2 linked regions of the Pelodiscus sinensis genome follow. The protein of the gene in region 1 purifies or fractionates together with the protein of each later gene. This does not show direct contact. Links are inferred from orthologs where the notes say so. Each region holds a gene or a part of one and is shown in the gene's direction. Other genes may lie near its edges. The genes, in order: RRM1 and RRM2B.

Evidence for each region.
Region 2: the proteins of RRM1 (region 1) and RRM2B purify together in Homo sapiens (affinity purification with western blotting; 3 studies listed by BioGRID and IntAct, counting the BioPlex papers as one, with this or other methods). This does not show direct contact. The link is inferred for Pelodiscus sinensis from reciprocal best matches to the Homo sapiens genes RRM1 and RRM2B.

The regions. Positions count from the first base shown.
Region 1 is NC_134711.1:326,121,319-326,136,409, forward strand, and holds the start of RRM1 (ribonucleoside-diphosphate reductase large subunit), read left to right. Parts: upstream 1-9,280; 5' UTR 9,281-9,416; coding exon 9,417-9,435; intron 9,436-9,793; exon of another isoform or gene 9,794-9,813; intron 9,814-10,479; coding exon 10,480-10,568; intron 10,569-13,618; coding exon 13,619-13,796; intron 13,797-14,509; coding exon 14,510-14,610; intron 14,611-15,091. UniProt on the Homo sapiens protein: Provides the precursors necessary for DNA synthesis. Catalyzes the biosynthesis of deoxyribonucleotides from the corresponding ribonucleotides.
Region 2 is NC_134712.1:34,419,975-34,435,048, forward strand, and holds the start of RRM2B (ribonucleoside-diphosphate reductase subunit M2 B), read left to right. Parts: upstream 1-7,858; 5' UTR 7,859-7,995; coding exon 7,996-8,049; intron 8,050-8,097; exon of another isoform or gene 8,098-8,261; intron 8,262-12,629; coding exon 12,630-12,785; intron 12,786-15,074.

The DNA.
Region 1 (15,091 bases):
AATATGCAAATGAAGCCCGGGAAATTCAAATCCCGGGCTTCATTTGCAACTCCGGTTGCCTACATTACCACCCTAATTCGAACTAGGGTGGTAGTGTAGAGACACCCACAAAGTCCACAGGAAGGAGGTCCAAAAATCACTGCGGGTTGGAACCTCTCTAGTTTGGCACTCTCTGGTCTGATAACATCCGTGGTCTGCCATGATTTTAGTTAGCCAGATGCCCACTTATCATGGGCATGTATCCGTGGTCCCATAAAGTTTGTTTATAGCCACCAGTCCTGGCTCTCAGTGTTCTGTGCTGTTAATTAGCTCTACTTTACCCCTATATGTCCAGAAAGCAGTGGAAGTGTTGGTAACACTGCTAGACAATATTGACTTTCCGTGGTTCGGCACATTCTCTGGTTCAGCACCAGTCAGGTACTGAGGGTGCCGGGCTAGAGAGGTTCAACCTGTACAACTACAGAACTCTCCTCATTGTGTCCTTCATAGGATAGGCAGTGAATGAGATAAGAGCTACTGGGTGAGACCTGCACTGCAAGCTGCACATCCTCCTAGCCACTTGGGTATTATGTATACACCCAGATAGGCAGGCATAAAAGGTTCCATGAAGGAGACATGGCATGCATTGAATGAGGTACATTGCCCATGCACACCACATCAACTGTCCATTAAGAAAACCCCACCTTTTTAAAATGTACACTTCTCTGCACGTGACTATGCACAACTTTAATCAACTGTGCGAGGCCTGGTGTATGCTTACAAGGCACACTACAGTCACCTACCTGCATTCCAAATGCTGGAGCTACTGAAATGCTGCAGGGCAGAGCTACACTAGAGAGTAGAGCATGAGGTGGCCATGGGAAAGCAGATGGCACTGCAGAACAGGTCTGATTACATCCATCAATTATTTGTTGTCTCTCCTCTTCTCTCATTTTTTTTCCTGTTGAAGTAAAATGGAAACAAAGTTTAGAATAAAAATTGAGAAGTCCTGGGCCTCAGCTCCTGACAGCTTCTGCTCTCTCTGGGTTGATGCAGTGACCCCAAAGATTTGCTTGCTGGTGCAAATGCAAATTAGAAATAAATCTCACATTTTGAACAGTGGGAGTGATTAACCACCAGAACAAACTACCTTTGGAAATGATGGATTCCCCATCTCTTGATGTCTCCACATCTCATTGCAACTCTCATTTTTGTATAGTGTTAGCTTTTCTCTTTGAGTTTTAATTTTTTATTTTAATTCCCTCAGCACAAATGAATTTCTGGATTGTTTTTCATTTTGAATCAGTGACCTCTAGTGATTGGTTTGGTTAATTACAAGAGTATTATAATGTTTCATTCTCAGAGGCGCTGAGCAGCTGCAATGCCAGCTGAAGTCAAAGAGAGCCGCAGGTGCTCAGCACCTCTGGAAAGCTGGTCCCTATCCTCTAGATCATGGGTTCCCAAACTGGGGGGGGCATGAAGAAATTCTGGGGGGGAGGGGCGAGGCGACCAAGCCTCCCCCATTAGCCTCCCTCCCAAGTTTTGCTGCTATTTTTGTTTTTTGGTCCCAGTCCAGTCATTTCCTTTTTTTTTCCTCAACAAGTTTTGCTGCTATTGGGGGTGGGGAGGGAGGGCGTGAGGGTTTCTCAAAAATCCAAAAGGGGGCATGAAGCCGAAAAGAAGTTTGGGAACCACTGCTCTAGATGCATGCAGAGCAGATAAAACCTCAGATATTTATTAAGGCTTGGAAGGCCAGGATTTTAATTAGTAAATGTTGGTAAGCGTCAATTTCACCATACAGGCACAAATTGATTAAACAAGTTACAAATAGGTAAAGTCTGAAAAATACTGCTTGAAAATTTAGTAGAACTTGACTGCAGGATAGCTACTTTGTATACTTTGACGTGTTGTTGACAATTTGTATTCAACTATAAAGCTGTAACTTTTGAATCTCAATATCTATTATCATTAAATAGCTACCACCCTCCCCCCATTGTTTGATGACCACATAGTTTTCATATTTAAATGGATAAAAAAGCTGAACCCCATAGTGTTGTCTGTCTGCTAAAATTAAACGGATAAACATAAAAACGCTTAAAATTTAAACATTAAAACTGTATTTAAAAAAATCAAATTCTGCCAAAGTCTAGTTATTATGGTCTTGTACAGTAAAGTCTCTGGAACTCATTTTATTTGAGGGTTGAGCCACAGTGCCAGGATTTCAAACAGTGACCTCACAGAACATGGGTGTTTCAAAGCCAAGTTTTAACCCTTTTAGCTATTGTCTTCTCTAGCCTATGGGTAGCCCAGGGTTTGCCTGCGTTATACTTACAGCACTTCCCACAGAAATGAATGCCCTGGAAGAATAATCACTGCATCACTAGTAGGGGATGAAGGTGCTGCATTATGCTCATTGTGAGACAGGACATGTAAGGATATCTCAAGGGAGGGGGAGGGGAAACACTGATAATGCAGAACATGGAAAAGGGATTGATTCTGTTTTCAGTACAAGTAGGACCTCTGCCCCCTCCGAGTTAAAGTCTCCAGGGGAGGCAAGGAGCCAGCAGAGTACTGCAGGTTCAGCAGCATCTCCACCCGCTGGGAAAAGCCACAGGCCAGGAGTAGCAACAACAGTGTTGGGTGTGACACACGGTTCCGCCAACCTCGCAATCTGAAAGAGCTTATGACTCGTTAACTTTCAGTCTCTTGCTCAAAAATGTGGTGGGACTCTAGTGCTGGTGAAAAGTGCCAGCCTGGCAGCCTCTGGAGAGAAACAGCCTTTTCTCATCCACAGCTTCTCCAGTACCATCCCTGCCTGGGCAGAAGCAGTGAGGAGGTAGCTTTAGTCTTCAGCAGAGCAATTGGTGGTTTCTATCATGTAAATGCCTGAATGTTTGGGACTGGATTGAGACCATCACCTCCTTTTGACAAAACCAATTATCAGACAATAACTACCATTGGAACAGGACTATGAAGGGTGATATAGCCATGAAAGGCTCTGGATCTTATCAAATCTCTGGCTCCTGCCAGTCACTCATCTCTCTGCTCTTGTTTTTATCTCTCTTCCACACCACACTTTGCAGTGAATATCAATATCTGATCTCTCCTATGCCCCTGCTTCCCTACCACAAGCAACCCCCTGCCCCTTTACTGCCAAAGCTAGAACACCATGAACATTTCTCTCTGTGCCTGCTGGGCATACATACATTTCAGAAGCATTTCAGGAGCTCTGCAGAAATCTCACACAGTTCTGTCTCTGGACACTGCAGTTTCCAACCTTTTTTTAGTGGAGCAAAATCCTGAAGAGCAGGGTGTCCATATCATCCAAGTCTAGTCCCAGCACCTATGGTTGGGAGACTGTAAAATGTAGAAAAAGGAACACATCAGAATACAACTAATAAAACATAAATAAGTTTCCTCTGAAAAACATGTTCATCCAAAAGCCCCCGGCACAGAATCTCCCATTCAGCTGTGCATCTTAATTACTTTTCTGCCTCCCATTTTGCTGGCATACATACACCACCTTCTCTGTAGTGTAAGGACAACCTAAACAGAGTCCAGGAGAAAAAAAGGAAGCGGGCCATGCAAACTTGTTTTGTGGGAGGGAAATGAAGCAAGAGAGAGACCTGCCTTAGGCTACTGTAGTAACTTCCACTTGGTAGCATCTTTCATAGCAGGGTTACAATTACATGTCTGCCCAAAGGCCAAACCCTTGTGAGAAGAGCCATTGAAGTCTGGTGAGTAAAGCAAGCAGGATTTGATTGGCTCTCCCACTCCCAAAGTAGCTGTAGCCTGATTCCTCAGCACTCTGTGCCCTATGTAGTCATTTCTTCTCGTGAAAAATGCTGCCAAATGAATGGTAGAATTTTACACCCATTTTGCACATGTATAAGGGCCACTGATTTCCACAGCAAAACTTGATCATTCTAAACAGTCCCATTGCAGGTTCTTAAGTGTTTTGCTAACAGAACTGGATATAAATATGTGCTTTCCTGGATCAGGGACTAAATAAATAAGCTGTAGAGAATCAGGAACCTACACTTCCTTCCTTCTTCTTACTGGCCAAGGCTTGAATGTTTATAAAACGGTATAGTAAAATAGAATTTCCAGTGAGATCTGTCAGAAGTGAGGGCATGAAGGCTCTGTATATCTTCTGGTCATGTTGCATATGTTCTGTTTGTTGGAAGAAATACATTCTTACTATTGATCTCCATTCTAGACCACCTCCCCCGTGGTCATTATCCAAATCCCTTGAGTTCAAGTGAGAATGGAGCGCTACAGAAAGAGCCTGATTTCAATTGTTCACATGGCCAGACTGTATCTGAAGGGTTGGCAAGTAGAAAGAGCCTGTTGAGACTGAACCAGAGGTGAAAGCAAGGGGGTGCGCAGCTTTGGCAAGAGCTGGCTGAGCTGTGGCAAAAGCCAACAGGGAGCTATTGAAAGAGCTGGCAGGGATCCGGGTTGCAATAGGACAGGATCTGTAAGAAATTTTAAGTTACTTTCACCGCTGGACTGAACACATTTCACTCTGGAAATCAGTAAGTGAATAACTATGGTGTCTGCTCATACAGAGGCTCTCTCTTGCCTGTAGCTGTCCTACCAAGGAAGGGGTAACACGACATTTCCAGTAAGCCGGCTCTTTGTTGCTTAATTTCCTTCCAAAATCATCTCAGAGAGTGCAGCTTTTCAAACGTTTATCTTTCTGATCTACCCGCAGTCACACCCCATTAGGAGAAGTCTGGTTTCCTCTGTCACAGTTTAACCCACCGGGTGCTTGTCAAATTCTAGTAAAATAAATCAGTCTTGCCCATGGCTGTAAGACACTCAAAGAAGGCCCAATAAAACAACAGGGAGGAAGATCAGTGAACATAGCACGGGCTCCAGCTGAACCAGCCTGTTCTCCCCTCCGCAAACCTTTCTGACACATACTATTTTATAGCACTGCAGACTATGGGACCTGATCTGCTCTGGTTTTGAATTAATTCCAAGAAATTCCCTCTTTGCATGCTTGATGCTAGGGCACTCCAGACTTGCAACCTTGTGCAGCCTTTCTTAGTGACTCTCACAAACTCAGCAGGGTTCCCGTTAAATGGGAGACCTGAGAAGAGTATCCCAGTGCTAGGTAATCAGTAGTGAGCCATTTGTGCTCAGAGTCACTGTTGAACTGATGCCCCAATGCACAGCGAAGGAAAACAAATTTTTTTGGAAGAAATGACTGAGGTTCCAACATTAACGCTCCTGGGCAATGTTTGTTAGAACCGTGGTGATAGTCCCACTATCCCTGCCAAATTATAACTTAGATTACATTCTGCTTGCCTAATTTTCCCTGCATTAGGGCATTCTCAGCCTCCGAAGCAGCTGCTGCTTCCCCCCCCCAGAGGTGGCTGCCTTTCAAAGGCAGAAGAAGTGATTTCTGTACAGAATTAGTAAAAAGCATGTTGTCTTCTGGAGGTACGGTGCGGCATAAGGCAAATATTATGTATTGGGCCAATCCCTGCTATTGTGAGTGGGGTGTAACTCTGTGACCTTACATTCAGAATAAATACCGGTGGGACCTCCCTGGTCCAGCACCCTTGGGACTTCAGCACTCCCGAACCAGGAGTTTGTCAGACCAGGGGAGGTCAAAGTTCTCCTGCTGGCCCTACTCTCAGGCTCCCTCCGGCTGTGGGGCTCCCCAGGTTGGGGCTCCCCATCCTGCCACTGGCTGTGCCAGGGCTCCCCACCCTGCTGCCAGAGCCACTGTCACCAGGGGTTCTCAGTCAGCCCTGCTGCTGCCAGGCTCCCAGGCCATCACCAAGCTAGCTGTCACTGGCCCAGCTGGGGCTCCCCAGCCACCACGGGACTCCCAGCTGGCTCCCGCTCCCAGTCTGCAGGGCTCTTTGGTCCAGCAATATCCATGCTCATGCCAGACTATAGGTGTTGGCGGACCAGAGTGCCGGATTTGAGAGGTTAAACCTGCATAAAGAAGCCATTGTAAACAGATAACCAAAACAGTTCAGCAGCTTCCACCTCAAACACTGGCCCTTGTCTCCAGCCAAAACAAAGCCACCATAGCAAATCAAAATGCAGCTGCAAAAATCTTTCTCCCATGCTGCTGCTTCTGCATGAAAGGAGCACACTGTGAAAAACTGTAAAGCAACCACATTGTCCTCTTCTAAATCTCTTATTAAAACCAACCAACACTGGAGTGTCTACTAACTGCTTAGTAATGGGCTGCTGAAGCTCTGTGACTGCTGCTAAGTATGTAGTCCTTATACATAATCATAACAGCCTCATTAATTGCATGAGCCCCCTCCAGCTGTTGGTTTATTTTAAACTGTCCATCTTATTATTAGATCTATTCTACACTTCAGATGTACACTGACATATCTACATTGCTCAGGGAGCTGAAAAATCTGCACACCTGCATAATGCAGCTATGTAGGTATTCAGGCCTATTGCCAGGTATAGACACAGCTAGGTGCTGCCCTCGCTCAGGTGCTAGCAATGGAAAGAAAACCCTTATATCACTGTCGGCTGTGTCTACACTACAGGTGGGCAAACCAGGTTGTATGTGTGGCAAGACATTTTGTTTACTAAACTTAAAATACAACAAATGGTCTGGTGGCACTTTATAGACTAACAAAACATGTAGATGGGATCATGAGCTTTCGTGGGCACAGCCCATTTCTTCAGATGACTGGAGTTTGTTTACTGTGACTGCTGGTTTTCGCCCATGTAGTTTTTTTTCTACCAGTACAGGGGGACCTCCCTAGTCCAGCACCCTCAGGACCTGAGTGGTCCAAACTACTGTACAGGGTTTGCCAGACCAGGGGAGCTCAGGGCTCCCTACCTAGCTGTAGGCTCTGCTACCGGCAGGAGCTGCACTCCCTGCTTGGTCCTGCTGCCTCCAGCCCCTACTGAGGTTGCACACCCCCACCATGCCACTCTGACTTGGGCTGGGCTCCCCACTGCGCCGGCCCCGCTGAGGCTGCACTCCCCCCTGCCAGCCTAGCCCAGCATAGGCATCGCATGAAAAGCCAGCTGGGGAAGGCAAGCCTCAGCCCTGCCCCCTTCAGACCACTCCCAGCTTGATCCTTCTGGGCCATGTGGAGAGCCACAGCTGCCATGCTGCAGCTCCGGCCCGGCTCTCCTTGGTGGGCAGGGAAAGCCGGGCTGCGTCTCCTGACGGTGGCCCCAGCCTTATTTTGGGAAGGCTCTGCCTTCCATTGCCTACATTACTGATCGCCCATGCGGCCCAGGCTGCGCTGCTGAACCTGGCCAGCAAGGGCTCTCTGGTCCAGCAATATCCATAGTCCTGCCGGACGATGGATGTTACTGGTTCAGAGTCCCGGATTTTAGAGATTCAACTCAAGTGACACGCATGTAAAGCAAGGGCACATGAAGTGAGGTGCATTCTGATTTCACACAATATTGACCGTGAGAGCCGTGTGCTCCCTCTGCCTATCACAGTGCCACTACAGTTCAATTGGTACATCCTACAAATTCTAGGAATGAAAGTTCAATTAGCAAAACTACCCTATGTTGGCTACAACAATCTTGCAGCCCACTGAGATGGAGGGCCACTTCATGCAGCCCACTCACTAGCCTAGGTCCCCCATCACTGATCTACACCATGAGGTTATGTCAACATAGCTGCAGCCTGTACCTCTGCTTTTATAGTCCTTATACTATAGACATGGCCTTATATAATAAAGGATAATTTGTTTGTTATATGCATGCACAACACCTAATATCCAGGGTTGCTCATACTTGATCAGTGGCAGACAGAGGCAGATCACTTCAACAGGTACTAGCCTAATACAAATGATGAATAATAATACAGGTAGTATCTTTCTGGGAAAGTGGATGGTAGAAAAAATAGTCTAATGATGCCATCTACTGGGGAAGTGGGAAATTGCTTTATGCTGGATACATTTACAGATTCAAAATAGGACAAAATAAAAAACTGAGCTATTTTTGCTCTGTCGCCGGTTCCCCCAGGTGGACACTTTAGTCCCAGACAAGAGCGACTTTATTCCAGAATAATTATGCACTTTGGAAACAATTATTTGGGAGTAATTACTCTGGAATTAAACCACTTGTGTTCAAGAACAGAATGTCCACATGGGCGGGGAGGATTATTCCAGATGACCTCAATCAGAGTGGAAGGATGACTAAGGCTGTCATGTGAAGTCAGTTTCCTTCCATAGACAAGTCTGGGCAGGGAGGGGGAATACTTTGACAGCAGCATGACTAGCCGAAGCAGGGCCTCCCCTACCACTGCGCAGCCAGGTAGCCCCCAATTTCTCGGCTCCACAGCGATTTACCTCAGTACTGGAGCCCCGCCGAGTGGGGACCCACCGTGGCGCTTCAGTTTTCCTGCATGAGGAGTCCTTCGCCCAAGGGAGCGGGCACTAACCCAGCCCCACCTTTGGGCTGTTCAAACGGCTTGAGAGCTGAGGGCCTGGCCCAAGGGGAGAGATGTCCCCCATGTGACCCCCCCATGTAGGATTCTCCCTCTTCCACTGCGTGTTCCCCCAACATGAAGGCGTCTCCCCTTTCCCATCCCCATGTGTCCCCCCACGAAGGAGTCTCCCCTTCCCCTCCCCCCATGTCCCCCCCACGAAGGAGTCTCCCCTTCCCCTATGTCCCTCCCACGAAGGAGTCTCCCCTTCCCCTATGTCCCTCCCACGAAGGAGTCTCCCCCTCATGTCCCCCCCACGAAGGAGTCTCCCCTTCCCCTCCCCCTCATGTCCCCCCCACGAAGGAGTCTCCCCTTCCCCTCCCCCTCATGTCCCCCCCACGAAGGAGTCTCCCCTTCCCCTCCCCCCCATGTCCCCCCCACGAAGGAGTCTCCCCCCCATGTCCCCCCCACGAAGGAGTCTCCCCTTCCCCTTCCCCCATGTCCCCCCCACGAAGGAGTCTCCCCTTCCCCTCCCCCTCATGTCCCCCCCACGAAGGAGTCTCCCCTTCCCCTCCCCCCATGTCCCCCCCACGAAGGAGTCTCCCCTTCCCCCCCCACGAAGGAGTCTCCCCCCACATGGCAGCCCCGCCCCGCCCCAGGCGGGAAGCAGCCCGCTCCCCCCACAGCCGGTCATCGGAAGGGCGGGGGAGGCGGGATCTCGGCCGCCATCTTGGACCCGGGCAAGCCGCCCTTGCCCCCCGTGGTTCCCTTTGCCCCTGTGCCGCGTAGCCGGGGAGCAGGGCGAGGAGGGAGGGGCGAGCTGCCGGGCAAGCACCAGGGAGGCGATGGGGTCCCGGGCCCGGGCAGAAGAGCCCGCGGCGGGTCGGGGCCGCTGCCCGCACTCAAGATGGCGGCCGCGGCGTGGGGAGGGGGCGGGGCGGTACGGCGGCGCGGCGGGGTCAGGCCGGCGCTTGGCGGGCGCGGGAAGCTCGTAGGCCGCGTCTGGAGCTCCCGGAGCGTTGAGCGCGAGCGCCCGGCCCCAGCCGCCGCCATGCACGTCATCAAGCGAGGTGAGAGCCCCCCCACTCGGGGGCAGGGGCAGCAGCCCCGGCTCCCTACTGGGGGGGGCGCTCAGCGGGTCCGACCCCCCCCCCTCGGGGCTGCCCCTGCTGAGCGAGTTCCCCGCGCGTCTCCTCTCTGCGGGGGGAGGACCCCGCCTGGGGGGACCCCTACCCACAGTGCCATTCCCGCCCCTCCGCCTGGGGGGGCCAGCTGGCACTGCGCCCCCGGGTGCATGCCCCCCCCCCCCCGCCCTGCCTTGGCACAGGGCTGCAAAATCCCCTTTCACGGGTTCATCGGTTAACCAATGAACGGATCAGGCTGGAACCGGCCCGTTAACCTGTTAACCCGGTTAGGGTTAACCACCGGCTGCAGGCTCCGGTTAACCGGTAAGGATGCTGGTAAGGGATATGCTCCCGGTTAACCTGTTAACCCGGTTAGGGTTAACCACCGGCTGCAGGCTCCGGTTAACCGGTAAGGATGCTGGTAAGGGATACGCTCCCGGTTAACCTGTTAACCCGGTTAGGGTTAACCGCCGGCTGCAGGCTCCGGTTAACCGGTAAGGATGCTGGTAAGGGATATGCTCCCGGTTAACCTGTAACGTCCCTGCTTTGTATTCCTGCTACTTCCATAGCTGGCACCACGCTCCCCTGGAGGACCGGACCCCTGTCGCCTCCGACTCACCGCCCGGAGCATTTCGATCCCCACCGATCCCCGGTTTCTGGAATGGGGATCCCCACAGGCGGCATGAATATTCCCCTCTGGCTGGATTCTTCTGGTGCTGCTCACAGAGCGGCGGAGCAGAGTCCCTGGAGTGCTGGGGAGGGCACAGAGATACCTTGACAGCCATAGGTGGCCCCCCCAAAGGCCCCTCTCAAAGGGTCCCCCCCAAAGGCCCCTCTCAAAGGGTCCCCCCAAAGACCCCTCTCAAAGACACTCCCCCCCAAAGACCCCCTTCAAAGACTCCTGCTACATGTGGCTGTCTGTGTAATTCATGCTGCTCTCTATAAAGGCCTGACTCTCTGTCTCTCCTTTCCTCCCCCAACACCTGGTAGATGGGCGCCATGAGCGCGTCATGTTTGACAAGATCACTTCTCGGATCCAGAAGCTCTGCTATGGACTCAATGCCGACTTCGTTGATCCTGTGAGTTGTTTTGTACCCTCTCCACTTTCCCCCAGTCCTCCGTGGTGACCATTTGTGATCAGGTGCCTCTCAGTTATTTCCCCTTCATTCTAAAGGGAGGTGTTTGTATTCCCCATACCCCTATTGTGAACTCTTGGCAACTGCTGCTTTTTTAATGGTAACCATTGTGTTTTTCTTTTCTGTGTACAGTAGAACCTTTGTTGTGAACACCTAAGGAATGTTTGTAACTTTGGACAAAATGTTATGGTTGTTCTTTAGAAAGTTTACAACTGATTATTGAATACAGCTTTCAGACTTTAATAAGCAGAAGAAAAAAAATCCATTTTCCTTTTTTAAAAAAAATAGTTTACATTTAACACAGAACTGTACTGTATTTATTTGCTTTTTTTGAGGGAAGGGGGAGGAGGGGCATAGGGGAGCTGTCTCTGCTGCTGCCTGATTACATACTTCTGGCTCCAAGTGACACATGTGGTTGATTGTTCAGTTTGCAACTACTGTAACTTGATTCTTTAAAAAAACAATGAGTGGTCCTGTGGCACCTTAGAGACTAACAAAAATGTATAGGGTTACGAGCTTTTGTGAGTAAAACCCACTTCATCAGATGAGTTGGAGTGGAAATAACAGAATCAAAGATATAAATATATAAAAACAGCAAAAGCAGTTACCTGTCAATTGTAGGATCTGTGTTAATGATGCTAATTAAATGGGCTGGATGTGTCCCCTTCATAGCATTTGATGTGAAAATGTGAATGTCAAAGGTGGGGAAATTGGCTCTATAGTGCATTAACCAGTTAATATCGTTATTCAAGCCCAGGTTAACAGTGCCATATTTGTGAATGATGCTGTCATGGCTCCTTCCCCACTCTGGCACGATAAATGCAGAATTGGCGGCCAGCAAAAGTACTCCAAAATCTTATCTACCAGGCTTTGGTATAAAATCCCCCCCCCCCCCCCCCAAATCTTAACAACTTAGATGTCGGGGATAAATTCTCTGCTGCCACCACCCAAATATTAATAAAGCAACCAAGGAGAGACTACTTGGGATATCTCACCCCTAAAGTACAAACCAGGACACAAAAATTAACTAATACCAGGTTAATAAAAAGAAACGAGAGAGAACTTATATTATCACCACAATATTTCTGTTGCAAGTATAATGATTAGATGGAATAGTAACAATATAATATACTCACGGAGGAGAAATTTACCATGGGCCAGGAACTTAGTTACAAAGGAGAGCAAAACCCATTTTTAAATGCACAGACCTGATCTCATTTCCCAAACCATAAAACAATAAAATCTAACGGATTTATCTAAACTTTATCCTACTTACAGACTGTGAAGAGTATTTTCTTAGAGGGAGACATCCTGTCCCCTTCAATAGCTGGGGAGAAAACTCCCAGAGACAAAGGAGGGAAACCCAAAAATTCCTTTGTCCCAGTTTGAAATTCCTACCTACATTTCTATTGGCTAACTCTACCTGAGTTAGGTATAGTTAATCCCTTAGTCCCCAGGCTGCTGGCTAACCTCATGATCGTGATAGATGCTTAGAATGCTATCAGTGCAATAGAAATATGTAGTATATTTCTCAGCCCTGGGTCTCAAATAGCTTTACAAAGAGGCAGTAGAATCATTATCCCTGTTTTACAGTTGGGGAAAGTGATGCCCAGAGAGGTGTAGCAAAGCAAGGAATCTGATCTAGGTCTCTGAATCCCTAGTGTAACATCCTGGTGACTGGGCTAATAATCAGGGCTCGACAATTAAGGCAATCTACTCGCCCGTGGTGAGTAGATTTTAGCCCGGCGCGGTCTGTGCATGCGCAGCGTGTGGTTCCGTGCAGCTGGCGAGTGGGGCTCACCGCCGCTTAGCAAGCCTTGCTAATAATAATAAAGTTAGTTTTACATGACAGACCATTATTGTTTCTATTGCTTCAATGCTTGAGTTGCATTTATGGGCCAGGATGCCTTAGTGCTAGGTGCTGTACAAACAGGACAAAAACTGTCCCTGTCCCATAGAGCTTGCAATTTAAGACCAGTGTTTGAAAATGACAGTCTGACATACCCAGTTGCATGTGAATGTTTCAAATGCATGTCAAAATTGCCATATTAGATAAGACCCAAGATCCTCTTGGTTCAGTACCCAGTTTCTGACAGTGACCAGTACCAGTTGGCTTAGAGGAAGGTGCAGGAAACACCCTAATGGGTAGATGTGAGAGATTGGTTTAAGCCCTGAAACATGAGGTTTTTATTTCAGATGTAACAAGTAAGCATCACTGTTACCAGCTGGAGCAGCCCCCACCCATAGCACTGTGCAGCGGGCCCAGCCCAAGCAGCTCATGGCGAGGCGGTACCAACTAGGCTGTGGGATCCTGGTTAAGCATTATATTTAACTGATTAAATGGGATTTTACATTCCTAGTTTTAATATCCCTTTCCAAACTCTCTTAGCATTAACTATTTGTAATTTAACAAATTAGATGCTTGATCAGGCATGTGAAAAGTCAATGCTGTTTGGAGTTTGAAAATTCCTGAGCAAGTTCTGGATTGGATGTGGCATTTCAGCTTTTGCACTACCGCTTCAACAGGGCACATTAACATTTAGCAAGTTAACTGCATACAAAAACTTGTGCCTGATTGGATAATTCCTGATGAGTCATTTCTGTACTACTCCCTGTTCCCTTTCTCCAAACTATCACTAAGGTTGTAACATTAAAGCCTGGTGCTTTCCCTCCATCAAGGCAGCTCAGTCTAAATCACTTTATCATCTGCTGGTTAAAGTGAGAACAATGAGAAGTCCTGTGGCACCTTATGCTCCAATAAATCTATTAGTCTATAAGGTGCCACAGGACTTCTGTTCTTGCAGATTCAGACTAACACGGCTACCCCTTTGATACTTGTTTAAAGTGAAACACTTATTGTAATAACTTTTCTTGCAAAGAGAAAATATGATGCCAGGTGTTGGGAAAATGTGGTTCGACTAGGCTGTTGCTGTTGAGGATGGTGTTGTCACGGTAACATAGGTAGTTAACCTGCTGAATTCGGCTTTCCCCAGGCTCAGATCACCATGAAGGTAATCCAGGGTCTATACAGTGGTGTCACCACAGTGGAGCTGGATACACTGGCTGCTGAGACAGCTGCAACCCTCACTACCAAACACCCCGACTATGCCATCCTAGCCGCAAGGATTGCGGTCTCCAACTTGCACAAAGAAACCAAGAAAGTGTTCAGTGGTGAGTGTGTCTATGGGCATTTGTGCTCCGCTGTTAAGGAGGGAGCCAGCATGGGGCTTGGAGCCTTACGAAACAGAACTGTGGTAATCTTGTTCCTAAACAGGAGCAATTAAGTATCGAGCCCATGTATCTGAGGCATTCAGTTCTTTCGACTTCGCCACAAAGGCTTGGCATGCTGTGCAAACTCTGAGAGCCTGTGTATGTAGTTTTGCACGTATTATAGAGAAAGCTTAGTTATCTTTCTTGTTAGAAGTGTTCCTATAAATAGTTTCTACTGGAGCATTTCACAGTTAAAATATGGATGTCCTAACTTTCTCTTTCATTCCTACAATAGAAATAGTTATGTGAGGATGACAAAGTAACTTGAAAGTTCATTCTCTTTAGCCTAGACCCATCTAGGTAGTCAACTTTATAGGGACTAGGTTTATCTGGCATCTGACTGACTTCTACTAGATACGTTGTATTCCTAGAATTTCTTTCATAAAAGCAAATTATTTTGGGGTATAAGTTCTGAGTAATAGATATTCTCTGGGATTGGACAGGTAGGAGAACAACCAGACCTGTATTTTTGAAGACACTCGATGTGGGCTAGATTTTGGGAGAAGTGGAGTAGTCCAGGCATGTTAAATTTGTGTAATTATAGTTTTCAGACCTGGTAAATAAGTCTTGTAAATTACTTTCCCTTGACTCTTTTTTTTCCATTTCCTTTGTAGATGTCATGGAAGATTTGTACAACTATGTAAACCCTCATAATGGCAGACACTCCCCAATGATCGCCAAAGAAACGCTAGACATTGTTTTAGCCAACAAAGATGTATGTAGCACTTCATGGGATCTTAGTTTACTGGATCTTAGGAACTTATATTCAGTGATATTTTAAACTTCTAAATAAGAAAGTACACTATGTTGGTTGTCAAGACCCCCCCCCCAAAAGTCTTACTGGTGTAAACTAACACCTACTGACTGCTCTATTTTGGGGAGCTGTTTGTGACGGGACAGCAACATTTAGAATTCTGACCTCTGAAGGATATTTCTGATGTTGTTATATTAAGGACATCTATCTTGGAGTGTCTGAGGCCCATTGGTAGTGGGATAAAGAGTGGCTCTTAATAAAATTACAATCTCCTAATTTATGCTGTAGAGAACAGTCTTTCAAGGAGGGAGATGAGGTTTGATATGTGTCTTAAGTCACTCCAATTTCATATACTCATGGAGTGTTGAGGCCACAAGAATGAAAACCAGAGGCACTGAACATTTAGAGCGCTGTTGTTTTTGTAATATGAAGCTGTGTGGAT
Region 2 (15,074 bases), on another chromosome or scaffold:
AAGAAAGCTCCGATGGCCATTTTAGTCATAGGGGTTTCTTCTTCGAGTGATTGCTCATGTCCATTCAAATGAGGTGCATGCGCGCTGCGTGCACAGTTCCTGGAGCATTTTTTCCCCAGTGGCACCCGTCGGGCTGGCAGGTTGCCCCCTGGAGTGGCACTGCTATAGCGGAGCATAAGTACCCTGCCGGCTCTCCCCCTCCTCAGTTTTTTTACGTGACGGTAATGGTTGTTGGTCTCCCGGGCCTCGGAGCTCCGGCCGGCACCGGTAGAGTCGAGGGACCGTCTATCGCTGCCGGCCACAGTGGTACGAGGGCAGACTGTGCCGCAGTCTCCTGCCCAGCCGATCTGGGAGGCTTCACTGCCGGCACCCATGCACCCTGTGGCCCCAAGTACCAGCCTTGTTGGCTCTGCCCGTGCCGGCACCGCAAGCCCTTCCGATGTTGCAGGTGCCGCCGGCACCGTACCTGTAGGCACCACAGGCTCCGGCTCTACTGGCACCGCAAGCAGCGTGTGGCCCGGTGCCACTGCCGCCACACCCGCAGCTCCGTCCCCTGCAGCTCCGTCCCCACGCAGGGAAGCCGGAGTTGATGACGAGGTTCTGCCCGGGAGCGGTACAGGGTCAGCCTTCGTTGGCACTGCCATGGTCGGCGTCCGAACTGTCTTCGGAGTCCGAGGCAGAGTTCCTGCGTTCTGTGGGATCTTTGCGGTTGTCGTCCCAGTACCGATCCCATTCCCGGCACCCAATGGCACCACAGGGATTTGAGTAGACATGGCTGCCGCAGGTCCAACAGCCCTGGCCCTTTTGGACACCCTGGGCTTATCACCAGTAGCAGGGATCACTCCTCCCTTCGGGGTCTGTCAGTGGCTCGCGGCAGAGGTCCGCGCCCTTGGCCTCCCTTTCCAGAGCCCCACCCTCACCTAAAGGGGCTAGCCCCAGGGGCCACCTGGACCCCGGTGACCCGAGGGCAGGGGCCCAACAGCAGCCCGGGAGGCCGCAACAACCAGCCCCCATCCAGGGTGTGGTGGAGCAGCCGGTCCTGAGTCACGAGTTGACATCTTCATTGTCCCCTGATGAGGCCCTGGCTGACCCGGCCCTGGCTATGCCAGCCATGGATGCTAGATCCCACCAAGAGCTGCTGTGCCGGCTGGCCACAAATCTTGGGGTCCCACTTGTTACCCACCAGCTCTGTGATTATTGGGGAACCAGAACATGGTCACCTGTCAGCCTTGTGCTCTTGGGGAGTCAGGGAGTGACACTCATGGAAAACCATTCCCCTCCCTCAGGCCTCTGCTAGAATCAAAGACAAAGCAAAGAAAAGGCCAGGGAAGACACACCTAAACTGCTTCAGACAAGGGTGATACAATTAAGGAAACACCCCAGCCTCATTTACATTAAAGATGGAACAGAGGGACATCTCATTAGCATACAGAATGGAGAGCAGCTCTTCCAAGGCAGGAACCGCACTGAACTATGGGACACCGAAAGCAGAGAAGCACTGCCTGATGGGAAATCCCTGCTCCAGATGCTAATGAACCTAAGCCTGCTCACACCCAAATTAGTCATTATCAGACCAATTCTAGTAACGACCCTATTGACATCTAAAATACTGAAACTGCCAAGTTGCATTGTGAGCTCGTTCAAGGAACATCACCCATAACCAGGGGTGATCAGTCTCTATTGTCTCTCCTCTTTCTCTTTGAACTATCTCTATAAAACTCCTATCCTTGCCCCAAGAAAACTGTTCTGATACCTGGACTTAAACTGCATCAGTTCCATTGAGACTTCTTCATCTCCTGTCTGATCGTGCTGGGGGCTCTGTCCTGCTTTTCTCCTGCCCTCTGGACCCCCGGCTACCATCATCATCTGGGAACCCCGATCAGTGCAAGCTCCGTGGAGTGGTGAGGTCTCTCTCTCTCTCTCTCTCTCTCTCTCCTATCTCTCTAAGCATAGCCTCCTGACCCTGCCCTGTGTAAACTGTTATATGGTTACCTAACATTTGTAAGCAGCTTCAATTTAGATTTAATATTGTAATTGTTAGATTTAATATTGTAACTGTTTGATATCTATTCACTACTCAGAAATAAATCACTTTCATTGTTAAGCTGGTTGCTTCTCTCTCTTTCTTTCTCTTTTGCTCACTCTTCCTTAAGGGGTGTTGTTTTGGCTTCCCCATTCGCTCTGCAACAACGCTTCTTGTACCCAAGCAAAAGATCCCTGGAGTGCCCAAAATCCTGTGGGGTTTGCTCATCGTGTGGTTTACCTGTGAATGACTGTGGTGTGAAAGTGGGGATAAGGGGTGCTGAACCTGGGGGCTTATGAGGATGGCAGCTTAAAGTGCTGTTTAATCCAGCCCACGGAGTCCAAAGGCACATGAGGGTGCAGTGTGGCATTGCTGTGAAACCCAGCCAGCTGAGTCCAGGGACATATGAGGGGGTCAGCTTGTGAGTGCTGAGTACCCAGTCCTCTCAGACGTGCTTTGATTAGTGGGTGTGAGTGTCTGTGTGTGTTGCTAAGGTGGGAAGAACCCCATCCTGAGGAACCTAGTTCCTGCAGGAGAGCTCCAGTGGGAGGGGGAATTGGCAGCAGGGAGAATTCAGCTCCATATGAGAGCCCAAGTAAGCACCAACAGCACACTGATAGAACTGTCAACCTTCCCCCAGTCCCATAAGGGTAACCCTGATAAATGAGCATACCCCAAGGTATTGGGCAAATCTGGTAACACGGTGGAGCCTGTGACCGAGGAGTCAGATCCGATGGTGGACAGATGATGCTCCGGCGAAGTTAGCACTGCCACTCAATAAGAAGGTGGCAAAGATCACCAGTACGCTGTGGCAGATGCCGGCCTCTATCTCCCCGATGCTCAAAGGGCTCGAGAGGAGGTACTGTGTCCCCCAGTCGGGGCATGAGCACCTCTATTCGCATCCCGTACTGGAATCTATGGTGGCCCAGGCAGCTGCCCAGGAGGGGCAGGGGCAGCCGGGCCCATCCCCTAAGGCTAAAGAACCTACGTGTTTGGATCTGATGGGGCGCAAGGTTTACGCGACAGGGGGGGTGCAGCTGCGTATTGCCAACCAGCAGGCCATGCTCAGTCGCTACGCCTAGAACACCTGGCTAGTGATGGACCGGTTCTGTGACAGATTGCCCCCGGAGGACAGACAGGAGTTCTCCGCCCTGGCCACAAAGGGCAGAATGATTGCTCGCACTGCCCTGCAGGCATCTCTGGATGCTGTCGACTCTGCGGCCAGGACGATGGAGTCGGGCATGGTAATGAGGTGCAGCATCTGCCTGCAGGTCTCGGGGATCCCGTTAGACTTACAGACCACAATCCAGGACCTGCCGTTCGACAGGAAAGCCCTGTTGGCAGAGAATACTGACTCCAGGCTTCTTAGCCTAAAGGATACCAGGTCGACTCTTCAGTCATTGGGTATCCACACCCCGGCCCCCCAACGTAGGCTGTTACCGTATCAGCAGCCACATAGGGGCCCTCCACAAGCCGCACGGCCTGACTATTGGCAGAGTAGACCACGTGGTCCGTCCGGGGGTTTTACCCAGGGGCAGGGTCTGGGGGCTCGCCACAGGCGCCGCCGGCCGTGACAGGAGGCAGGCAGGGGCCCCACTCAGCCCCCTCCCTCTCTTCCCAAGCAGCAGTTTTGAGGGTGCGCTAGGGGACCGCATACTGATGGCCATTATCTCCCCCCCTTTTGGAGACAGGCTGTCCCACTTTGCCTAGGCCTGGTTGGTTGTCACCTCAGACAAGTGGGTGCTGGACATTGTGTCTCAGGGCTACTCTATTCCCTTCCTGGGCCCTTACTCTTCCCTTCTCCCTTCCACGTCCCTCTTTGGGGACCCATCTCACGAGGCCCTCCTAGAGCAGGAGGTCCTCACTCTCCTAGAGAAAGGGGCGGTGGAAAGGGTCCCTCCCCATCAGGAGGGCAGGGGATACTATTCCCATTATTTTATTATCCCAAAGCCAAAGGCAGGGCTTCGGCCCATCCTAGACCTCAGGGCCCTCAACATGCACATAAAAAGGGAAAAGTTCTGGATGGTAACCCTGGCCTCAATTATTCCAGTACTGGACAAGGGTGATTGGAATGCGGCCTTCGATTTTAAAGGACGCCTACTTTCATGTGTCAATTCGGGCGAACCACAGGAGGTTCCTCCAGTTTGTGGTATCCTACCAACACTTCCAGTTTACAGTCCTCCCCTTTGGGCTGTCGACGGCCCCCAGGGTGTTTACGAAGTGTCTGGCGGTGGTGGCAGCCTATCTCAGGCAGATGGTAGTCCAGGTTTTTCCATATTTGGACGACTGGCTTTTCAGAGGCTGCTCAAAAAAACAGGTCCTCTCGCAGATAGGGTTGGTACAGTCCCTTTTCGACAGACTGAGTCTTGCAGTGAACGAGGAAAAGTCGAAACTTACCCCTACCCAGAACATAGAGTTCATGGGGGCAGCCCTGTCTGCCAAGACAGGGTGCACTTACCTCCCACTATCCAGGTTCCAGGCCATAAAGACCCTGGTGTCTGCCCTGCGGCAGTCGCCGCTGACGACGGCACGGTCGTGCATGAGACTGCTGGGCCATATGGCAGCCTGCACCTATGTTGTCAGGCACACCAGACTGAGGCTCAGGCCGCTGCAGGCGTGGTTGGTGGGGTCGTTCAACCAGGCCAGAGACAGTTGAGACTGGATCCTTACAGTGCCGGAGGGAGTCCTCGCCTCGCTCAGTTGGCGGACATTGGAGAGCAAGGTGTGTTCAGGAGTCCCCTACCGTGCAGAACTGCCATCGGCCCAACTCATCACGGGTGCTTCTGACAATGGTTGGGGGGCACACTTGCAGTGCCGCAGGACACAGGGGTTGTGGACCCCCCAGGAGAGGGGGTTGCATATAAATGTCCGGGAATTGAGGGCAGTCAGGAGGGCCCACAAAGTCTTCCTGACTGTGCTCTCGGGGAAACCGGTGTCTGTGCTGCTGGACAATACCGCGTCTGTTTTCTACATAAACAAGCAGGGGGGAGTCCGATCATCCCCGCTGTGTCAGGAGGCGGCTCTCCTGTGGGAATCCTGCATAGTCCACCGCATCCAGTTACAGGCGGCATACTTGCCGGGGTGCGTGAATACGTTAGCAGACTCACTGAGCAGGTCCTTCAGAGTCCACGAGTGGTGCTTGAAGTGGGAGGTGGTGGCGCACCTCTTCTGGATGTGGGGTCGTCCCCTACTGGATCTTTTTGCTACCGAGGGGAACATGAAATGTCCCCATTACTTTTCCCCTCTGGGCCTGGGAGAGGGCTCGAGAGGGGACGCCCTGACCTCTAGGCTTGCTTTACATGTTTCCCCCATTCCCGCTAGTTCCCAGGGTGCTTACCAGGACCAAGGTCTCGGGTGATCCTGATAGCCCCAGATTGGCCCAGGCAGTTTTGGTATCCCATCCTGTGGGAAATGGTGGTGGCCCGCCCTTGTCGTCTGCTGCTGACTCCGGACCTAGTTACTCAGGACGGAGGAGTGGGGGCGGGGGGGAAGAGGGCATCCTGTACCACCCGGATGTACAGTCCCTCCACCTGACGGCATGGCTTATCCATGGCTGAAGTCCCCCGAGAGGGTCTGTTCTAGGGGGGTGCAAGAGATCCTCCTAGGCAGTCGGAAGCCGGCCACCAGGCGATCATATGCCGCCAAATGGAAGTTTCTCAGCCTGGGCTCAGGGTAAGGGTGTTTGCCCCTCCTGTCCTCCTGATTTTGGCTCCTGTCCTCCTGATTTTGGATTAACTACTTGGGCTGCAACAGGCGGGCCTGTCCGCTCCGTCAGTGAGGGTGCATTTGGCATCCCTAATGGTGTTTCACGAGGGATCAGGGGACGGGTCTCTGTTCACTGACTCCCTGGTGAAGAGGTTCCTGAAGGGCTTGGATAAACTGATTCCCCATGTAAGGGCCCTGATGCTGCACTGGGCCCACAACCTGGTGCTAAATAAGCTCTGGGTCCCCCCTTCGAACCCCTGGCATCCTGCTCTCTTAGGTTTCTGTCGCTAAAGGTGGCTTTTATAGTCGCCATTATGTCAGCACATCGGGTTTCTGAACTGCGTGCCCTGACGTGGAGCCCCCATACTTAGTGTTCGCAGACACAGTTCGTCTGCATCCCCACCCAAGGTGGCGTCGGCCTTTCATACGTCACAAGACATATACCGCCCGGTTTTTCTTTCCCAAGCACCACAGCTCCCCTAGGGAGCGGGCTTTGCACTCCCTTGCCGTGAAAAGGGCACTGGCGTTTTATATAGACAGAACCAAGCCGTTTCACAAGACTTCTCAGTTGTTTATTGCCTATGCTGATTGGGTGAAAGGGATGCTGGTTTCAGCCCAGAGGCTGTCGGGGTGGATATCATCCTGCATTAGGGAGTGTTATGCTCTGGCGCCTAGGGAGCCGCCTCGTGTGTCGGCGCATTCCACCAGGGGACACGCCTCATCCGTAGCCTTTGGGGCCCACGTTCCAATCCTTGAGATCTGTAGGGCAGCTCTGTGGTCCTTGGCCCATACGTTTACAGAGCACTATGCTCTCACCCAGCAGGTGCGGGAGGACTCTGCCGTGGGTGCGGCTGTGTTGGGTTCTTTCCTGTAAACAAAGCAAAGGGGGGTGGTTGAGTGGCACACAGCGTGTCATGCACCTGCTGCATCTCTCTGTCGAGTTTCGTGTTGAGTTCTGTTATAGTTCTGCATTAAAGTTCTTGTTGTCAATGAATGTCGGTGTGGGTGTTCAGCAGGGTGACTCTGACCCAGCCTCCGAGGAAGGGGTAGCTTGGTAGTCACCTCGTTTGAATGGACATGAGCAATCACTCGAAGAAGAAAACAGGGTTAATTACCTGTAACTGTTGTTCTTCAAGATGTGTTGCTCATGTCCATTTGATTCCCCCCCCCCGCCCCCGCGTCAGAGTTTCCGGCAAGAAGGAACTGAGGAGGGGGAGGGCTAGCAGGGGTACCTTATGCTCTGCTATAGTGGCGCCACTCCAGGGGGCGACCTGCTGCCCCGACGGGTACCACTGGAGAAAAAATGCTCCAGGAACCGTGCACGTGGTGCGCATGCACCTCGTTTGAATGGACATAAGCAACACTTCTTGAAGAACAACAGTTATAGGTAAGTAACCCTGTTTTCTGGCACAAGAAATCCCCGCTGAGCATCCACACTGCCCTCTTGTGCAAGAGAGCTTACACCTGTTAGGAAAGAGCGTAGCTCTTGCGCAAGACGCCTTCTCTTACCACGCCGTACTGTACATTTCCTTGCACAAGAGCAGGCGGGCAGTGTGGCTGCTCTGTGGGGTCTTGCACAAGAAGCTGTGAGTGTAGACACAGCCTTAGAGGGAACACGTCCCCCAGCGCTCTGCCCCCGAGTTAATGTCACACACATTGGGTTAATGCAACTGCAGGATAGTTGCATGGGGGGGGGGGGAGGGGTTGGGGGAGGGGCAAACTAATCCCTGTGTGTAGGAGGATGGTGGGAAAAGCCCTTCGAGTGGGGTCACATGACACCTTTTACTTCTGGTCCGGTGTCCATCTTGCCCTGAGCATGTTACCTCCAGAGGCCTGGCTAAGGGGGGGGGGAGGGGTGTGGCTAACGGGGCACCACCAAAAATGATACAAACCTGCCGCCGCTGCAGCCAGGGGTCCCCGCTAGGCCAAGTCCAGCTCAACAGCGCAGCCGGCTCAGGCAGGAGAGCGCGCGGGTGTAAAATACATCGCGGACTCCCCTGGCCGCTCCTTGCCCACGGGCAGTGAGGCTGCGCGGAACCCCGCGCCCGATATTTGCCGCCACCGTAGCTCCCGCCTTCACGCCGCGGCCCCGCCCCCGCGGGCAGCCCGGGTCGGGCAGCGGCTTCAGCCGAGGTCACCGAGCACGCGCAGTCGGAACGCGCATGCTCCGTAGCCGCAGACCACCCGCGCCGTTTGTAACGTCCCAGGGGCGACGCAGCGCTGAGTGAGCGCGTGCTGCCGGCTAGTGGCGCTGCCGCGCGCGCGCCATGAGCGAGCGGCCCGCTCGCGCTCCGCCGCAGGAGGTCGCTATGCCGGGGCGGGTAAGTGCTGCGGGGGCGGGCCCCGCTGGCTCGCGCTGCCTGTGGCCGCTAGCGGCCTGGGGAGGAGGCTCGGGCGCGTGACCCCTGAGCGGTGGGGTCGGGCCTAGCGCGGGAGGGCGGCGCGGCAGGTGCTCGCCGCGGTCTCTTCCCAGCGTGTGTGAGGAGCGGAGGCCGCTGGGGCTAACGGGTCAGCGACTGTCGCGGGTGCTCAGGTGCGGGGGGGGGGAGGGGCTCCTCGGCTCTGTGAAGCCCCAGTTCCCGGGGCCACGCGATCCTGGTGCGGTGGCGAAGAACAGCTGGGCCGTGGGAACCAGAAGGCGGGGGGGGGGCCCTTCTAGCCTCCTTGCTGCCCGCCCCTCTGCCCTGTTCCCCCACCGGGTTTCCTACCCCTCCCCGAGCCCAGCTGGGACCCCCTAGCTGGGCTGCGCGTTGCCTTTCCTCCCCTCCCTCCCCACCCCCGCATAGTGCTGGGATCCCCTCGCTCCCTGCAGCGCCTGGGGGCTGTGATCCTTGTCATGTCCCAAGCATTGCTAGTTACTTGGTTTATGCTTGGCTACCTTCAGACCTTCCCACGTAGTTTTCTGTTCACTTGATCTAATCAAATTCACTTGATTCTCCTAGAGAAGGAAAGAGGGGATTGCAGAGTATTTCTTCTATACTCTTGACTGGACTGGGAATGAGTTACAGTACAGAAATGATAGATTCTCAGTATCTTAAAAAAAAAATAGGCGTGTGTGACTGACAATCTTCAGCCAGGAATAGTACTATGCAACAACATGGACATACAGAGAGACTAATGGGAGGGCAGCCTCCGGAAAGGGCAGATCATTTTTTTTTGTTGGAAAATAAAATTAAAAAATAGGCTCTCATGAGGCAACTATTGTGCTTATACATATTTACATAACTTCATATGGTTTGGGAAAAACAGGAAGCTTTTTCCAAAGATAGAATTATAATCCTGAATAGGAATGTTAAATGTCAGTTAATCAGCTAATTGAGTAGTCCTCGTCTACTCGATTAGTTGCTAAGGGGGGGCGCTCTGCTGTGCCTCTGCCTTTGAAATGTACAAGAGTAACAGTGGGGACCCTGCGCCAGTGAGACAGCTTTGGTACCCGCTAGCATGGGTTCTCTGCTGCACCTCTGCCTCCCCTGACTCCCTGTAGAGATGGTGCTGAGGGGAGCCAGTTTAAAAGATGGTTCCTAATCGGCAAGTTGCTTATATCCCTAATCCTGAATTGACTGAGGAGGAATACAGAGGACGCTTTAGAAGAAAAATTATCTATAAGAATCTTTTGGGGTGGGGAGGCATGATATTGTAGTGGACAGGCAAATACTTTCAAAGTCCAAGAATCATAGAGCAGATCTAGGAGATACAGCATGTCCTGTCTACACTTGTAGTAGTATCACTGAACCCACTGGTATGTGGAGCTGTATCAACAGGTAGTTCTACCATTAACATTTCTGGAGAAATGGAAGAGCAGGCAAGGTATGCAAAACGTATCTAATTTCATAAGTAGGCTTATTGGCATGATGAGATACTTATACATAAGACAGGGAGATTACCTATCCAAGGAATCTCTTTGATATTTGATAAGTTTGTCTTTGACATTCTGTCCAAAGGGCTGAGAGAAGAAAAGGAAAGCTAAGGGGAAAGAGAATGTACTTAAAAAACAACAAATAGTTTTGCAGCACATTAGAGACTAACAAAACATGTAGATGGTATAATGAACTTTCGTGGGCCCAACCCATTTCTTCAGATGAGTGGAGTTATTAAAGGTCCAGTTTCTAAATAAATAGAAGATTGGGGGAGAGAAGGAAAAAGAACGGGGGAAAAAAGGGGGGAAGAAATAGTCATTAGTGTCCATGCTACATGAAGCTTACAGAGAAGGTGCTGATTGGTCTTGAATACCCATTATTTGGTTTTTTTATGTCATTAAGATGTGGAATATAGTGGACAATCCAGCCAGTATCTTTATTCATACTTCTGTGACAGGAATCAAACTTATAAATGAAGTTAAGTTTTAAGGCTTCCCTGTGGAGTTAGCTTGTGGAATTGGCATGAAACAATATGGTAACTTTGAGATCCATTAATGAGTGCTGTGGCAAGCTAAAATGTTCCCCAGCAGGTTTTTGTGTGTTGCCTTTTCAGATATCAGATTTGTGTCCATTAATTATTTTCCTAGAGACTGTCCAGTTTGGCCCTCTGGAAATGTAAGACTGCTTTGTTATCGCATTTAATCAAGAGAGTAAATATCTTTGCTTTTGCCAAGCAGGAGCTGGTGCTGGGGGGGAGCTAGCTTAAAAGTCAGTCCTCCTCAGCACTGGCTCTGCAGTGTCTCCTGCCCTCTTCCCTCTGTACTGCTGCCTCTGTCAGAGGGTATGGCCAGGGGAGGTTGCTATGAAGCAGTCTCTGTCAGTGGTGGGCCCGAGTCTCTGTCTGTGGCAAGCCTTGGCCTGCCATAAGCAGAGGCGGCTTCATGGCAGCAGCCTCTGTCCATGGAGAACTCAGACCCCTTCCCATGGACAGGGGCCACTGCCACTCCATGCTGTTGCTTTTGCATCAGAAGCAGCAGTGTGGGGTGGCAGACAGCTGGTATGCGCAGGGAGCTAGTTTTTTAAACTGGCTCCCCTCATGGACTGGCTCCACTTGTCACCCTGGGAGTGGTACCAAGAGCACACTGGCTGCCAGCTCCGCCCCTGGGGACTATCGAATAGTCGTGTAACCACTAAGATTTCATGCAGTTACATGACTATTCAGTTATGTGATATCTAACATCCCTAGTTAGTAGGATTTGCAATTTGAAATTATGGTGTGTTCCCCATACCATACAGGACATTACAAGTCTGGGTTGTAATGTCCTGTGCTTGACGTTTGTAACAAAAGGTGCTCCAACAAAGCTGTTTCTGTCTGTATTGTGAAATTTTGCAGGGCCATGTGCTACTTTTCTACTCCCTTTGCCCTTCTGTCTTTTGGTCATTTGCTGGGATGAAATCACTGCTTCCATGAATATTTCACCTTTTGTCTTTTTTTTCCTCCTTTGGAAACATGACTGCATTTTTCAGATAATACCCCTAGTGCCCAGGTCATAACCTTCCAGGTGGTATGGGTATTTATTGTCCCGATGCTAATCTCCATGTCAATGGTGATAAAATATTACTGTTCCCACAGTTTTGGAATGTCTTTTCCCACTCAGTGGTTTGCCTTGAGATCTCTTCCATCATTTTCCAGGTTACTTCCCTCTTGTATAGGCCCTCTGAGCCAAAGCTGAGAGGGTGGGGAATTGTGGAGTGGATGGGCAGAAGATAGCGAGGGGTAGAATAGCAATTGCACTTGCGCTCCTGAAGGCTGTTCTTATGCTGGAGGATGTTACCTTGTGATGTAGCTGAAATTGTCAGCGGTTACATGTTTACCTCAAATTCTTTTTAACATCCCTAATTTTGAGTGGAGACGTGGTAGAGTTTAAAGGTTGAGGAGTCAGAAAGGGGTTCCTAGCTCCATTTAACACAATAATTTACATTCCTCCTACAGCTTTATTATCTTATACTATGTAATATTTCTTGGATATGCTTTCCACCACAGCAGCTCCAGGATAGCTGTCTATATGGGGTTCTTATATAATATCCAAACTATCTGGGTATCCAATGCTCATAGTATTGGCAAGGTGATATAACTATTACTAGTGGTCCTGTTGTCCCTTTTTGTCTTTAAGTACTTATGTTAGAGCTCCTTTGCTTTGATGTGGCAGTTGAACCAACTCTTGGGTGCTCCTTGCAGTCATTTGCTCTGATGATGTCTTGTAGATGTTTGCATTCTGATTACTCTTTTTCAGCTAGAATTGGATGTGCAGCTCTCCAAAAAAGGCAGACAAATCTGTAGCACTAGAGTGTATGACTGTTGTAATGTGAATGAATCTGGGAGTATGAACTCACTACTGCCTGATATCAAACGGGCACTGCTGGCTGCCCATCATCATTTAAATCCATGGTTTCCAACATGCTTGCCACTTGCCACATGTAGCTATTTGGCTATAGCAGTAGCCACTCTATTATTTACATTTTCAGAATAATGTGGCTAATTCACTATAGCTGTAGCTGCTATATTGGCTACTGCTTCAGAACTGGATGGATACCACAGATTTAAACAGAAGGATGACATCCAGCTAAGATGAAATCAGAGTAGTGGAAGGTACACAATAGGGATGTGATGCATTCATGTAAATGATTAACTGATGGACCGGGGCTCATTGGTTAACCTTCATAGTTTCACGCAAGACCCCTCCCCCTTCTTGCTGCCTCTAGAATGAGAGAAACGTCTGGTACTGTTATTAATTTACTGCACCCAAAATTATTCTAGGTAGAGCTGGGCAGAAAGAACAAGCAATGGCAGTAAATAGTAGGGATGGCAGACGGAAGAGCAAGAGTTACAGGAGAGGATCCTTCAGTTACTTGGTTCAGGCATGTGCATGTCTCAGTGGTTTCATTCTAAGGATTTTTTTTATCTTACTTTTTAAAATAATTAAGCTAAGTGGTGGAGTTACAATTGGAGAATAATCTTCTGATATAACATGCTTTTTCTTAAGGGTTTCTCTTCATGTGCAATTGAAAATGACTTTAAATCAAATGAAGAACCTCTTCTCAGAAAAAATCCTCGTCGATTTGTCATCTTCCCACTGCAATACCCGGATTTGTGGAAAATGTATAAAAAGGCACAAGCTTCATTCTGGACAGTAGAAGAGGTGAGTGTGATGTTCTGATCAGAACACCCAGAACCGTAAGCCACTGTATGATCTCTGGTCCAGCAAGAGTGATCCTTGTTGGAGATTAGACTGTCAGCTTCCTGCCATTCCAGTCGGTCCACTTCACCAGCAAGTTCCTTGAGACTCTGCTGATCTAAACCATGCAATTAATGGTCAGTGAACCCTAGAAATGTCTCACTGCGATGGTCACAAATTATTAAGTTCTTTGCCTCCAAAGAGACAGCGTACACACTAGCCTGTTAGTTGAGCTGAAGACTCACACTTTACTTTCACTGATATTGTACTAAAACAAGAATGAGTTTAAAAGTAAAGAACAGAGATTTAAGTGATTCAGGTAGGGTTCACAGGGAACTGTTTTGGGTCAATTGTTGAACATCTGTATTAATGATGTGGATATAGGTAGAGAGAACATGCTGATGAAGTTTGCAGATGACACAAAGTTGTGGGGTTGCCAATACTTTTGAGGATAGAGCTAAAATTCAGAAGTATCTTGATTGGAAAACTGCTATAAACAACAAAATGAAATTCAAGAAAGGCAAATGTAAGGTGCTGCACTTGGGGAAGAAAAAACAAAATCATAAATACTATATGGTGGAAAATGGGCATGGCAGCAGTGCTGCAGAGAAGCATCTGAAAGGTGTGGTGGATCACAGCCTTGACCAGGGGCGGCCCGGGAGCCTAGGCGAACTAGGCAGTTGCCTAGAGCACTGCTGGCCCAGGCACCTGATGATGGCGTCATGGCCATACAGGTGGGAGCGTCAATTGCGCCGCCTGCCTGGGGCACCAGCTGCTGCAGCCGGCCTCAGGCCACTCCTGGCCTCGACATAAGTCATAAATGTGATACTCTTACACAAAAGCAATGGAATTTAAGTATTCATTAACAGAGGCATAGTGTGCAAGTCATGGGCTGGAAGAGACTTCGGGAGGTCATTGAATCTAACCCCCTACCCAAAGCAGGACCAACCCCAGCTAAATCATTCCAGGCAAGGCTTTGTCAAGCTGGGACCTAAACCTCTAGAGATGGAGATTCCAAGACCTCCCTAGGTAATCCATTCCAGTGCTTCACCGTCCTATTAGTGAAATAGTTTTCCCTAATATCCAACCTAGACCTTCCCCCACTGTAACTTGAGACCATTGCTTCGCATGCTGTTATCTGTCACTATTGAGCACAGCCTCCATCCTCTTTGGAATTTCCCTATAGGTAGTTAAAGATTCTCTTCTGCAGACTAAACAAGCCCAAATCTCTCAGCTTCTCCTCATAGGTCTTGTGCTCCGGCCCCCTAATTATCTTCGTTGCCCTCCACTGGACCATCTCCAATGCATCCATATTGTTTCTGTAGTCCGGGGCCCAGAATTGGACACAATACGCCAAATGTGGCCTTACCAGTGCCAAATAAAGGGGAATAATCACTTCTCTAGATCTGCTGGCAATTCTCCTTCTAATGCACACTAATATGCCGTTAGCTTTCTTGGCTATGAAAGCACACTGTTGACTCCTATCCAGCTTCTCATCTACTGTAATCCCAGGACCTTTTCTGCCAAACTGCTGCTTAGCCAGTCGGTCCCCAGCCTGTAACAGTGCTTGGGATTTTTCCATCCCAAATGTAAGATTCTGCACTTGTCCTTGTTGAACCTCATCAGGTTTCTTTTGGCCCAATCCTCCAATTTGGCTAGGTCACGCTGGACCCTATTCCTACCCTCCAGCATATCTACCTCTCCCCCTAGTTTTGTGTCATCTGCAAACTTGCTGAGGGTGTAATCCATGACCCTCATCCAGGTCATTAATAAAAATGTTGAACAAAACCAGCCCTAGAACCAACCCTCGGGGCACTCTGCTTGAAACTGACTGCTAACCAGACATCAAGTCGTTGATCACTGCCCGTTGACCTTAAAATCTAGCCTGCTTTCTATCCACTCTACAGTACATTTATCCAATCCATATTTCGTTAACTTGCTGGCAGTTAAGTGTGGGAGAACATATCAAAAGCTTTGCTAAAGTCAAGATATATCATATTCACCAACTTTCTCATGTCAACAGAGCCAGTTACCTCATCCTAGAAGGCAATCCGGTTGGTCAGGCATGATTTGCTCTTGGTGAATCCATGTTGACTATTCCTGATCACTTTCCTTTCTTCCAAATGAAGTACTCTGCATAAATGTAAATTATTCTGTTTTTCCATTAGAAATACCTTTGGACATGCTGTAATATCAGGTATCTAGTGGTCATTCTAGTGATTAAATGGTGTACATATTCTCTGAATTTCCAAA